3 linked regions of the Oryctolagus cuniculus genome follow. The protein of the gene in region 1 interacts with the protein of each later gene in a biochemical or structural test. Links are inferred from orthologs where the notes say so. Each region holds a gene or a part of one and is shown on either strand. Other genes may lie near its edges.

Region 1 (3,645 bases):
ATAAACCAACAGCGCCAAGCTCGGGGGACCGGGAGCTCGGCAGCTATCCGCAGGCACCGGCAGGGGGCGCTGTGTGACCTCGGGCAAGCATCTGTGAAATGGGGATGGGGTGGTCACAGACACGGGGCCCGCACCCCCGTATCGGAGCGCCTGGTTCCAGTCCTAGCAGCCCTGCGTCCAGAGCCAGCCCCCTGCGCACGCGCACCCTGGGAGACGGCAGTGACGGCTCAAGGACTCGAGTCCCTGCCACCCACGTGGGAGCCCCGGGATGGAGCTCCTGGCTCCCGGCTGCAGGAGACCGGCCCAGCCCCGGCTGCTGCTGGCATTGGAGAGTAAACCAGTGGACGGATGGCCTCTCTGTCTCATTCAAATAAATAATCTTAAAAAAAAAAAAAAAAAGGCGTGCAGGCCAGGCCAGCCTCAGTACTCCCTGGGGTTATTTTTAGAGGTAGCGGGGATTCGGATGAGTGGCGGTGCGGGTGGTGGCATTTCTGCTCCTTGGTGCCGTGGCTGGGGTGTCGCTGTCGGCCCCGCACCCGCGTGGGCACCGCACTGCTCGGTAGGGAGACACCCACGCCCTCCACGGAATACTAATGAGTCCCGGGATGGGGGGGCGGGCTCACCTGGTCCCTGCCTTCAGAACGGTTCACAAAGACCGCATGGAGCAGCTCCCACCACCCACCCCCACCCCACCCCACGGCTCAACTGCACAACCCGACCTCAGTGTCACCCGAGGGCTGGGCAGAGATGCAGTGGGGGCAGGGAGCTGCGGGCGCCGGGCTGCTGTGCGGCTCCGGGCAGGTGACTCAGCCTCCCTGGGCCTCTTGGCAGCTCTGTGTGTGTGTGTGTGTGAGAGAGAGAGAGAGAGAGAGCGAGAGCGCCAGGAGTGGACTTCAGCAATTGTCACGCGGCTGTCACCAAGGTCAGCCCCAGACCCCGCCGCTCCTTACCCAGGATGTCCAGCCACTCCTCGGGGGCCGGCGCCGGGGCGGGCTCCGGCTCCATGGCAGCCAGGAACTCCCGGGCCAGGGCCCCCGGCTGCTCCTCGGCCTTGTCCGGCGGGGGCTGTGCCATGTCCTCAAGTGGCGGCAGCTCGCTCAGGTCATCGTCCTCCTCCTCCTCCTCCTCCGCTTCGGCCTCCTCCACCCCGTCCAGCACCTCAAAGTCCTCCAGCGGCGGGACCCCAGCCGGCGGCGGGGCCCTGGGCTCCGAGGGCTCGGCGCAGGAAGCCATGGTGCTGGGGGCACGGGAACTGGCCCTGGGGACAGGGGGGACGGACAGGAGGGAGGTAAGCCCCCCGGAGTCTCCTCTGTCCCACCCCTCCCCACACACACCCAGGGCTGACCACTAGCAGGGGGACTCGGGAACTCCCGGGCCTCAGTCCTCTCATCCGTACAGTGGGTACAACAACCCGGAAGGGAATTCAAAACAACCCACGCCTCAAACGCCAGGCATGAGGCTGAGAGTGTTAGCTATTATTAGAGCTAATGATTATTTAATTTTTATAAACATCTCAGCAAGTAGGAACCGTCCCTCTCCACACACAGCCCCCCCACCCATTCTGCAGATTAGAAAACAGACCCAGCGGGGCAAAGGTAGGGGTCCAAGGTCACACGGAGCAATCGCAGGGCAGGGACAGACCCTGGGGGCTTTCTGGGACTGCATGCCAAGGGCGGGTGCTGGGGGCGACGGAGCACCCCCAGGCCTCAGGGAAGCCATCTTTAGGGCTCCCAGGCTATGTGGGGAATGGATTCCAGCCAGGGCCTGCCCACCTCCACCTGCCCCTTCTCCCCAGGGGAGCCAGCTCCTCCGACAGACATGGACACCACCACCCACACCCCCGCCCCAGCCTTCTCCTTCCTCACCCTCAGCTAATCCTGACCCCCAACTCCTATTTCGGGGACCCTGGCGCTAACCCACTTCCATCAGGCCCCCTTGGGCCCCCCACCAAGCAGCCTTCGAGGGAGAGACCCCCACCCCACCCCACCCGCCCGGCCTGGCCCTGGCTTGTTCCTAGTTTTTTCCCTGCCCAGGCCTGCTGGGAGCCCCTAGCCCTAGCGACCCCCAGGCTCCCTCAGGCCCCAAGCGCCCAGGAACCCGCAGTACCGCCTCCCTAACCCTCACCTGCCCGCCGCTTCCGGGGCTCGGGCCCCCCACAACCCCCTGCGAACGCACGAATGCCCCCCGCCCCCAGCCGGGCCAGCCCCCCCCACGGCCGCTCGGTCGCCCCGGCGTCCCCTGCCGCTCCCCTCCCGACCCTCAGCACCCTCCGCCCCCGGGACGCCCCCAGCGCCCCACGCCCGTCTGACGCCACCAGTTCAGAGCCCCCCGACCCCCGCGAGCACCCCCGGCCCTGCACGCAGCGATCGGCAGCGCCCCCCGCGGGCTCTCCCTCGCTCCCTCGGGCCGCCAGCCCCGTCGCTCCCAGCAGGCCGAGCCCCCCTAAGGCACCCCCGACCCCCGCGCCCCGCGCTCGCCTCCCCCGCGGCCCCTCGCCCCGCCCATCGGCCGCGGCCCCCGCCGCGCCGAGCCCCGGAACCCGCCGAGGCCCGAACGGTGGCCCCGGCCAGCGCGACCCCGCCGGCGCCCCGGGACACGTGCCTCCGGCTCCGGGACCCCCGCCTGGGGTCCTGCGCCCCCCTCCCCGCCCCCAGCCGCGGCCGCCGCGCCTCGGGAACCAGGTTCGGGCGCCGGGCCCCACCCCCGCTGTGCTCATTGGCCGCCGCCGCCGCCACTGCCGCGCGTATTGGCTTGCGCGCACGTCCGTCTCGGGCGCGGGCACCGCCCCCTTCCTGCTTGGCTCCGCGGGGCGTTCTTAAAGGGGCCGACGCCTCCCGGCCGCTCAGGGCGGGGGCGGGGGGCCTCTGGGATGGACTTCGACCGCGGGTCCGCGCCGCACCGCCCGGCGCCGCTCCCGGCTCGGGTCTGAGCTTTCGTCTGCTGAATGGGGATAAACCCCCCGCCACGCTCGCACTCTCGGGGGGCCGCGGGGAGGGGCCTTAGGAAGCGCCGGCTGGGTCCGGGGAGCCCACCCCGAGGCCCCAGCTCTGCGAGGCGCCGGGGTGGGGGGTCGGGGGCAATGTGCCCAAGGACACCGCGTTCCCCCCACCCCGCGGGGTCTCTGTCTTCCTGGAGGGTTCCCTGATGCATGCAGAAGGCGCTCAATAACGGCTGGGTGGGCGGGCAGCTGAGCGCGCAGGGGCCCCAGAGAGGTCCCTGCTGCACGCTCGCTCGGACACAGGGCGAGGGGGCGCGCGCGCGGCCAGGCCGGACAGAGTTTCTCCGCTTGTTTTGAAGCCGGGGCACTGGCTCCTCCCTCGCAGGTTCACTTCCTCCTGGGCAGCCGCCCCTTTCCAGAAAGATCTGCGCGTTCCTTGGCTTAGAGGTGCGCTCCCACATCCCCAACCCCCACTTCGCTCTGTCCTGGCGGGGAGTTTATTTTTCTTTTTTCCTGTTTTGCACCCAGCGCCTCCCCGATGGGTGACGCGGTTGCGAGGCAATGCAGTGATTCAATAGTTGAACAAATGAATGCAGTGAATAAATGAATGAGATCCCAGTCAGCTTCCTCCAGGGAGCCCTCCCTGACCACCCCCACGGCAAGACCAGGTTAGCCTGGTGGTTTACAACATCTAGCCGCTTTGTCGA
Region 2 (3,745 bases), on another chromosome or scaffold:
GTCTACAAGTCCCTTCCTCTTTGGTTATGGTGATTAAAAATCAAACCAGCTGCTTAACTAAACACTTAACAAAAATATTCTTTTCATCCTTTAGCAAATTACTCCAGAATCACTAAAGACCTGATAATGTGGGATTTCAACAAACAATCCATAAAGAGTCATTAAATTTTAGAGATTTAAATTGGGATATTTTAGTTAATTTTACATTCAAACATTGAACAGTGGCATCAATATTTTGTCAACTTTGGTCAAATAATATCAGATGTCCACATCAATCACCTACATTTCTTGGCCCCGTCTCTTTTTGGCCCCTTAATATTAGCATACTTTGAAAAATGGAGCAAAAATGAAGAAATGTGCTTCTTGCAGTCACGTCTAGGCTTTTGGATCCCATTAGGTTCTATAATGTGAGTCATTCTCCTAAGAGACTATAGAAGAGCTCACAGAAATGCATCCTTCTTCCAAGATAACTCTTCAGACTAAAAACAAAGTTTAACAAAACTCCAGACAAGAATGATTACTTTCTCATAAATTAATCCTTTTAGGTAAGAGATGGAAATCTTAATTAAGCACCGTTGAGTCTTGGGATCCGCACCCCAGTCCCAGAGCATCATGGAAAAATACAACTGCGTGGTGAACAGGATCGAAGCTCTATCTAGCAACCGCCCCGGAGCGGGAGAAAAAGCGTCTTACCAAGGTTCTTAAAAGTCACAGCTGCTCATCACTTCAACCCTGGTCAGCGCATGAAAGAATCCACAGCTAAAGATCAATTCTTCTACGCTTTACATAGTTTCCCTAGGTGCAAGTTTCTCTGTGAGTGTGTGTGGTGTATGTAAGCAGAGACCACAAAATCATGTGGCGTCTAGGTGGTAAAATGTAAGAGATGGTAAAACTCCAGGAAACTTCTAAATGCGACACAAGGGACAGCACACAAAGTCTGCAGCCAATCCAAACCCCATCACTGACAAGAGGACGCAGCGCATCCACAGACTGCTGCCCTTCAATGCACACCATCGTGTCCACTGGGTCACGGCCCGACCAGCAGGTGAACACTCCCCCGGCTCTCCCTACGTCCACTTACCTCTTCACAAACACAGCTAAGACCTTCAGGGAAAGGGGTTACACTGGGCTTCCTCTGGGGCAGTTTTTACCCAGTGAGGCAAACATGTTCTTGGTCCTCTGGGGGAGTCTGTTCTTCGATGGGGTGGCTTACAACTTTTAGGACAAAGACAAATCCACCAGGGGAGCCTGTTTAGGATGCAGACTGCCAGGGCCTCGCCCTGGGGTGGTGGTGGTCGTGGGATGCGCGGTGTGTCTGGTCCACACCAAGTCCCTGAAACCTGCGATTTCAACTACCCAGGCCACGTAACTGTGGTGCTGGGGACTCCGCAGCCCCAGTTTGAGAAGCACGGGAAGGCAGGACCATGCATCACAAAATCCTACTGGGCCGCAAAGGCAGCATCTGGGAGCCTCCAGGGCTGGCACACCACTTTTGGCGGGAAGCAGTTGCCCTAGCTGGGAGGGCAGGGTGCGCTTCCTGCAGGGCGCGCTGGAGGGAAAGCAGGGAAAGTGACACACCTGCTGTTAGCTCACGGGCTCTGCAGTCTGCCCCGGCCCCCGGGGTCCACCCACACCCTCGCCACGGCATCTCGGACCTGCGACCGCAAGCCCAGACTCACGTGCAACCAGACAGGCACCTACCCAGCCTCCATTATCCTGGATCCAGGTGTGCAGGTGCCGGTTCAGGTACTCAGTCATCCACAGGGCGATGTTGTCCACCAGGGGCGACATCTCCCGGTTGACGCTCTCCACACACATGACCCCACCGAACTCAAAGAAGGCCACAATCCTCCCCCAGTTCACCCCATCCCTGAAGAGCTCCTCCACCACCGTGGCAAAGCGCCCCCTCGCGGTGAAGGGCGTCAGGTGCAGCTGGCTGGACATCTCCGCGAAGTCGCGGCGGTAGCGCCGGGAGAAGTCGTCGCCCGCCTGGCGGAGGGTCAGGTGGACCACAGGTGGCACCGGGCTGAGCGCGGGCCCCGCGGCGGCCGGCGGCGGCGGCGGCGAGGTCCTGGCGGCCGGGTCCCGGGGCGCAGCGGGCGCGGGCTGGGAGGAGAAGACGCCCGGCGCGGAGGCGGCGCCCGCGTCCCCAGCGTCCCACTCGTAGCCCCTCTGGGACAGCTTATAGTGGATGTACTTCATCACGATCTCCCGGTTGTCGTACCCTGTTCGCCCGGCGTGCGCCATGCTGCCCTTGGGCGCCCGCGGTGCCTCCGGCCGCGTCCCGCCGCACGGGCCCGCTCAGAAGCCGGCGGGGTTCCCGGGCGCGCGCCGCATCCTCGGGCGCGGGGGTGTCTTCAGTCACGCGGAGCCCTCGCTTCTGGTGTTTCCCCGTTGGCAGCAGGCGCAGGAGATTTTTACTCAAATCCCTTTCGGATCTCTGTTTCACGAGGCACGTTATCATTCATAAGCGTGGTGAACGCCAGTCTTTTCCCTACGTGATGCTAGAAGGTTGGAAAAAAAAAAAAGGCAAACAAACAAAAACAAAACCTGGTTAAGCCAAACTCAGGTGCGTTCTCCGGCACACACGGAGAGAAAGCGGGGGCATGCACGCTGCGGGCCACACGGCTAAAAACAACGCATTCAACTGCCTGAAAATTCACATTTACTCGAAGGCACTCCGAGTTAGCATCTCGAGTGCCGCCACCGAAAGTTACGCGAGCCCGATCTGCTGCGCAAAGAACTTACTTGTGTTTTTAAAGGACAGCATGACCCTCTGTCCAGTTTCCTTCTCTGCAAAACCAAAACAAACGCATAAGGCAAGGATCCCATCAATCTTCGGAGCTCCCGGGTGAGAGCCGCTTGGAAACTTCCGAATGAATCGGGAGGCGGCGGGCGCGGGTGTAGGCACCCCGGGGCGGGGGGGTCTCCAGGCTGGCCCCCGGGTTTCTGCTCCTCAGAAACGTCAATCCGCAGGAATCCGGCCCCGAGCTCCGGAGCGCGCTCCGTCCGGGCTCCCCTCGGCCACTGACAGGCGCGCGCGCCGCGCGGGCACGGCGCGGACTCTGCCCCGGACGCCGACGGGGCCCGGCCGGCGCGGGGTCCTCTTCTGATTCAACTCCGAGAGCAGCCGACGCGTTTTCCGAAAAGCTGCGGATCAATGAAGGCAGGACGCGCCGGCCTCGCGAGGAGCCCGCGCCGTGTGTGGTGCGGCCAGGGTGGGGAGCGGGGGAGGGTTTTATTTTTTTTTTCCCTCTTTTTCCTAAAAAGGATGACTGCTACGAAGTTCGCCCCCCTGGACCCCTCTTCCGCTGCACCCGCCGGCGCACCCGCCTCCGGGCTGCGCACCCTTTCTGCTCCGCCCGCTCCCGCGCCGGGGCGCTGGCGGCGGCGGCCGCCGCCTCCTCCGGTCGCGCCGTGCGGCAGCTCCGCGCTCTGACGGCCGCTGGCGGGGGGCCCGGCGCCCGGGCACCTTCGCGGGCGGCGGCGGCGGCGCGGCGGGGACCCCGGGAGCGGCGGGCGGGCGGGCCGGCGGGCGGGCGCGCGGCGCGCGGAGGAGGGGCGGGGGCGGGGAGGAAGGGGGCGGGCGGGGGCCTGGCCGCTGACTTCATTCTCCTCACAAACCGACTGGTTTCCTGTACGTACGTCACTGTTCATTCAAAAAAAGAAGAAAGAAAGAGCCCTCCTCTGAGCCGCCCGACGGCCCCCCCCTCCGCCCCGCTCCCCTTCCCCGGTTAAAGGCGCC
Region 3 (3,645 bases), on another chromosome or scaffold:
GAGGCAGGCACTGAGCTTCAGGACGAGGGATGGGATCCAAGAGAAAAGATTCTCTCTGGTTTCCATTTAGGACTTTTTATGATTTCTGGCTACCAACTGTTCAGCCTGCTCCTCTGTGTGAATTAGCGGGAAGGCTGCTTGACTCAGAAAGGAGAAAAAAGGGAGAGATGACACGCAAGTCTTCAGAAGCTCACGCAAGCTGACTGGACTCTAACATCAGCACTAAACCCAGTGTCTCTAAGGGTGTGCATCCTCTCTCCAGCACACATCCCTCTGCATCTCCTAAGCCAGATGTTAAAACAGATTGCTGGAATTCATTATCAGAATATTCTAGGTTCTTTCTGAAATGAAAAAGATATTTAGAAAATAGTATTCTTTCTACAAATACCTAGTTTCATAGCAATATCTGCAACAACTTCAGTTTTAACAGTCTTCACATTTAAACTGAGTTATGAGAAATGGTAAAAAAAAAAAAGGAATTAAACATTTAGGGTACTAAACCTTGTAAAGAAAGGACATAATAAAACATATGCTTCTTAATAAGGCTAAAAGATTATTTTTCCAACATTAACTCACACATATGGCAATCTTTCTTCTACTTTTCTTTCCTCTATTGTTTTTTCTCTTCACTTCTACTCCCTAGTTACCTCATATTTTTTTCTACTCTATCCATTTTTCCATATTGTTACTCTTTATTTTTTCTCTCATTACTTTTTTTTAAGATTTTATTTATTTATTTGAGAGGTATAGTTATAGACAGAGGGAGGGAGAGACAGAGAGAAAGGTCTTCTACCCACTGGTTCACTCCCAAAATAGCTGCAACAGCTGGAGCTGTGTCAATAAGAAGCCAGGAGTCAGGAGTTTCTTCCAGGTCTCCCAAATGGGTGCAGGGGCCCAAGGACTTGGGCCATCTTCTACTGCTTTCCCAGGCCATTAGCAGAGGGCTGGATTGGAAGAGGGGCAGTTGAGACACAAACTGGTGCCCATATGGGAAGCCAGCACCTAGGCAGAGGCTTAGCATACTATGCCACAATACTGGCCCTTCTCATTACCTCTGCCCTTCTCCTTTCCTATCTGGTATTTCCATCACCCAAGTGAATACCCTCAGAAAATCAAAGGATAGGCAATAATTCAGAGATGAAATCACCAAGAGACAGGGCTAGAAGGGTGAGAAGTTTCCTTTTCTTATCCAAGACAAGGAGTGACTGTGCAAAGAAATACACAAGCATTTAGTACCAACTATGAATAAATCATATACAATTTTTAAAATAAAAATGACTATAAAACATAATAAAAAGCACCTGGAGAACAGGAAAATACTCATTAGAAATTTTTCAAATTTACTCAAATTATCCTCTCCCATCCAACCATAGTTTTTGTAACATATTTTTTCTTAAAAGAAATACTACCTTGTAGCATATGCTGGTTGTACTTCATGAGGGTTGCGACGGTCAGACCAGAAAAACAGCAGTCTATCAAATTTAGGTTCAATGTCAGCAAACTGGGCTTTGCCTTCTGGAAAAATTCGAAGTATACCTCCATTTACCTAGGAAAGGAGACAAATATGTAAGCATGAGTAACCAAAAATGCTCTAAGATTAAGCTGGGGAGGGGGCTATTTCAGTGAAACAAAATTCTGAATCAAATTATTCACAAATCCATATCAATTAACAAGGTATGATGTAAGCTGAGATTCTAAGTACTGCACTGCTGCAAGGAAAAAATTCATTTCTTGTTTGAGAGGTTTTATAAATATATGCTGAAACATGAATATTGTCTCAATTTAATTCCTAAAATGATGCTTGAATGTTTCGAAAACTATTAAACGTTTATATATCCTAATGATCTACTTAAACTGCCCTTAAAATGGATACCTTTCAACAAGTCATTTGGATTAAATTACTATAAATGGCTCATGTCTAATAGCTAATTGTATTTGAAAGCTGAACACTTAATATAACATCCACAAATGTCTTGTAAAGAATTTAAGAAAAATATATAAAGAATTTAATACATTGCTAGACAGTGTCTTCATTTATCACTATCATCACTCCACCATTCATGCCACAGTCACTGTTGGGACTCCCTTTTCAGACTGGGCTTGATATGCTCATAATTACTTGATTATAAAACTCAATTCCTTCCAGAATTATTATTTACTTAAATACACCATTCTCTGAAGTTACATGGACTCATCCACTCCTACCAATATTGACTGAGCAGCTATTTCACTGGGAACTGTGGTGACCCTAGGTGCAGAGCAGGTAATACAGCCAGACCTTGTTCTTGAGGTGTTTACAATCTGGGAGGAGAATAAAGCTAGGCAAATCACAGCCAAACAAGAATAAACACCTAAAGAGGCCACTGTTTAAAATGGAAAGGAACTGCACCACCTGGTCAAGACTTCCTGGAGGTTGAGCCTAAAGCTATAATCTAGTCAGAAAAAAATGTTCATCAGGCTCATCTTCAGGTCCAGCTCCTTGGGCCCCCTTGCCAGTGTTCCAGTGTTGGTTCCAGGTTGTTCACAGTGATTCCCCAGGCAATTATGTAAAAATCTCACAACTCTCCAGGTTTTTCCCTGTCCCCTTCCCTTTGACTGGAGTCACTGGGAATATCACAGATGATTGGCTGAAATGTTTAAAGAGAAATGGCTAGTCGACACCTCCCCTGGGAAACCTTCCCTGACCTCTGATCTGGGTGGCCTTCCTATGCACTTCCAGAGATATTAATCTTTATTAATCTTTTTTTTTTGACAGATAGAGTTAGGAAGTGAGAGAGACAAACAGAGAGAAAGGTCTTCCTTCCGTTCGTTCACCCCTCAAATGGCTGCTATGGCTGGCGCTGCGCCGATCCAAAGCCAGGAGCCAGGTGCTTCCTCCTGGTCTCCCATGGGGTGCAGGGCCCAAGCACTTGGGCCATCCTCCACTGCCCTCCTGGGCCACAGCAGAGAGCTGGACTGGAAGAGGAGCAACTGGGACTAGAACCCGGTGCCCATATGGGATGCTGGCGCCGCAGGCAGAGGATTAGCCAAGTGAGCCATGGTGCCGGCCCCAGAGATACGATTCTGACACTTGGCACAACTGAATTTAACTGTCAATCTATCCTCTGTACCTCCAACAGATCAATCCACAGCTCTACGAGAGTTATTTGCATTTCTGCTCTATCCTTAGCACACTACATACTCAGTGCCATCTTGAAATTGAAGTTTTCAGTTCTACATATAAACATTTTAGGGACTTCTTTCTGCCTATGTGTCAATCTGAAATCTATACAATAACGACTTTGGCTAAGCTGTATAAAAATTCAAAGACCTGGGGTGGGTGTTTGGCTCAGTGCTTGGGTCTCCACAAAGGGTACCCACATCCTCTCGAGGAAGGCCTGGTGGGAGTCCTGGCTTCCTGCTACTGTGCACCCTGGGAAGCAGCAGATGACTCCTGTCACCCACATGGGTCATCTAGATTGAGTTCCTGGCTGTTGAGGGCACTTGGGGAATGAACCTGTTCTCTCCATCTACCTTTTGGTCTCCCTGCCTTTCAAATAAAATGAATGTAAATAAAAAAATTTTAAATTTTAAAAGATCAGCCCAGAAGGAGCCTTACAAAATCTAGAAGTTAGTAGGAGTTGATTATGTCTATATCTAGCTTTC

What was found.
Region 2: the proteins of FKBP8 (region 1) and BCL2 form a complex in vitro, tested with the Homo sapiens proteins (4 studies listed by BioGRID, with this or other methods). The link is inferred for Oryctolagus cuniculus from reciprocal best matches to the Homo sapiens genes FKBP8 and BCL2.
Region 3: the proteins of FKBP8 (region 1) and EGLN1 form a complex in vitro, tested with the Homo sapiens proteins (2 studies listed by BioGRID, with this or other methods). The link is inferred for Oryctolagus cuniculus from reciprocal best matches to the Homo sapiens genes FKBP8 and EGLN1.

What each region holds. Positions count from the first base shown.
Region 1 is NC_091447.1:65,700,648-65,704,292, forward strand, and holds part of FKBP8 (peptidyl-prolyl cis-trans isomerase FKBP8), read right to left. Parts: intron 2,747-3,645; exon of another isoform or gene 2,602-2,746; intron 1,259-2,601; 5' UTR 1,234-1,258; coding exon 951-1,233; intron 1-950. UniProt on the Homo sapiens protein: Constitutively inactive PPiase, which becomes active when bound to calmodulin and calcium. Seems to act as a chaperone for BCL2, targets it to the mitochondria and modulates its phosphorylation state.
Region 2 is NC_091441.1:15,291,278-15,295,022, reverse strand, and holds the start of BCL2 (apoptosis regulator Bcl-2), read right to left. Parts: upstream 2,385-3,745; 5' UTR 2,248-2,384; coding exon 1,702-2,247; intron 1-1,701. UniProt on the Homo sapiens protein: Suppresses apoptosis in a variety of cell systems including factor-dependent lymphohematopoietic and neural cells. Regulates cell death by controlling the mitochondrial membrane permeability. Appears to function in a feedback loop system with caspases.
Region 3 is NC_091444.1:50,888,078-50,891,722, forward strand, and holds part of EGLN1 (egl nine homolog 1), read right to left. Parts: intron 1,547-3,645; coding exon 1,410-1,546; intron 1-1,409. UniProt on the Homo sapiens protein: Cellular oxygen sensor that catalyzes, under normoxic conditions, the post-translational formation of 4-hydroxyproline in hypoxia-inducible factor (HIF) alpha proteins.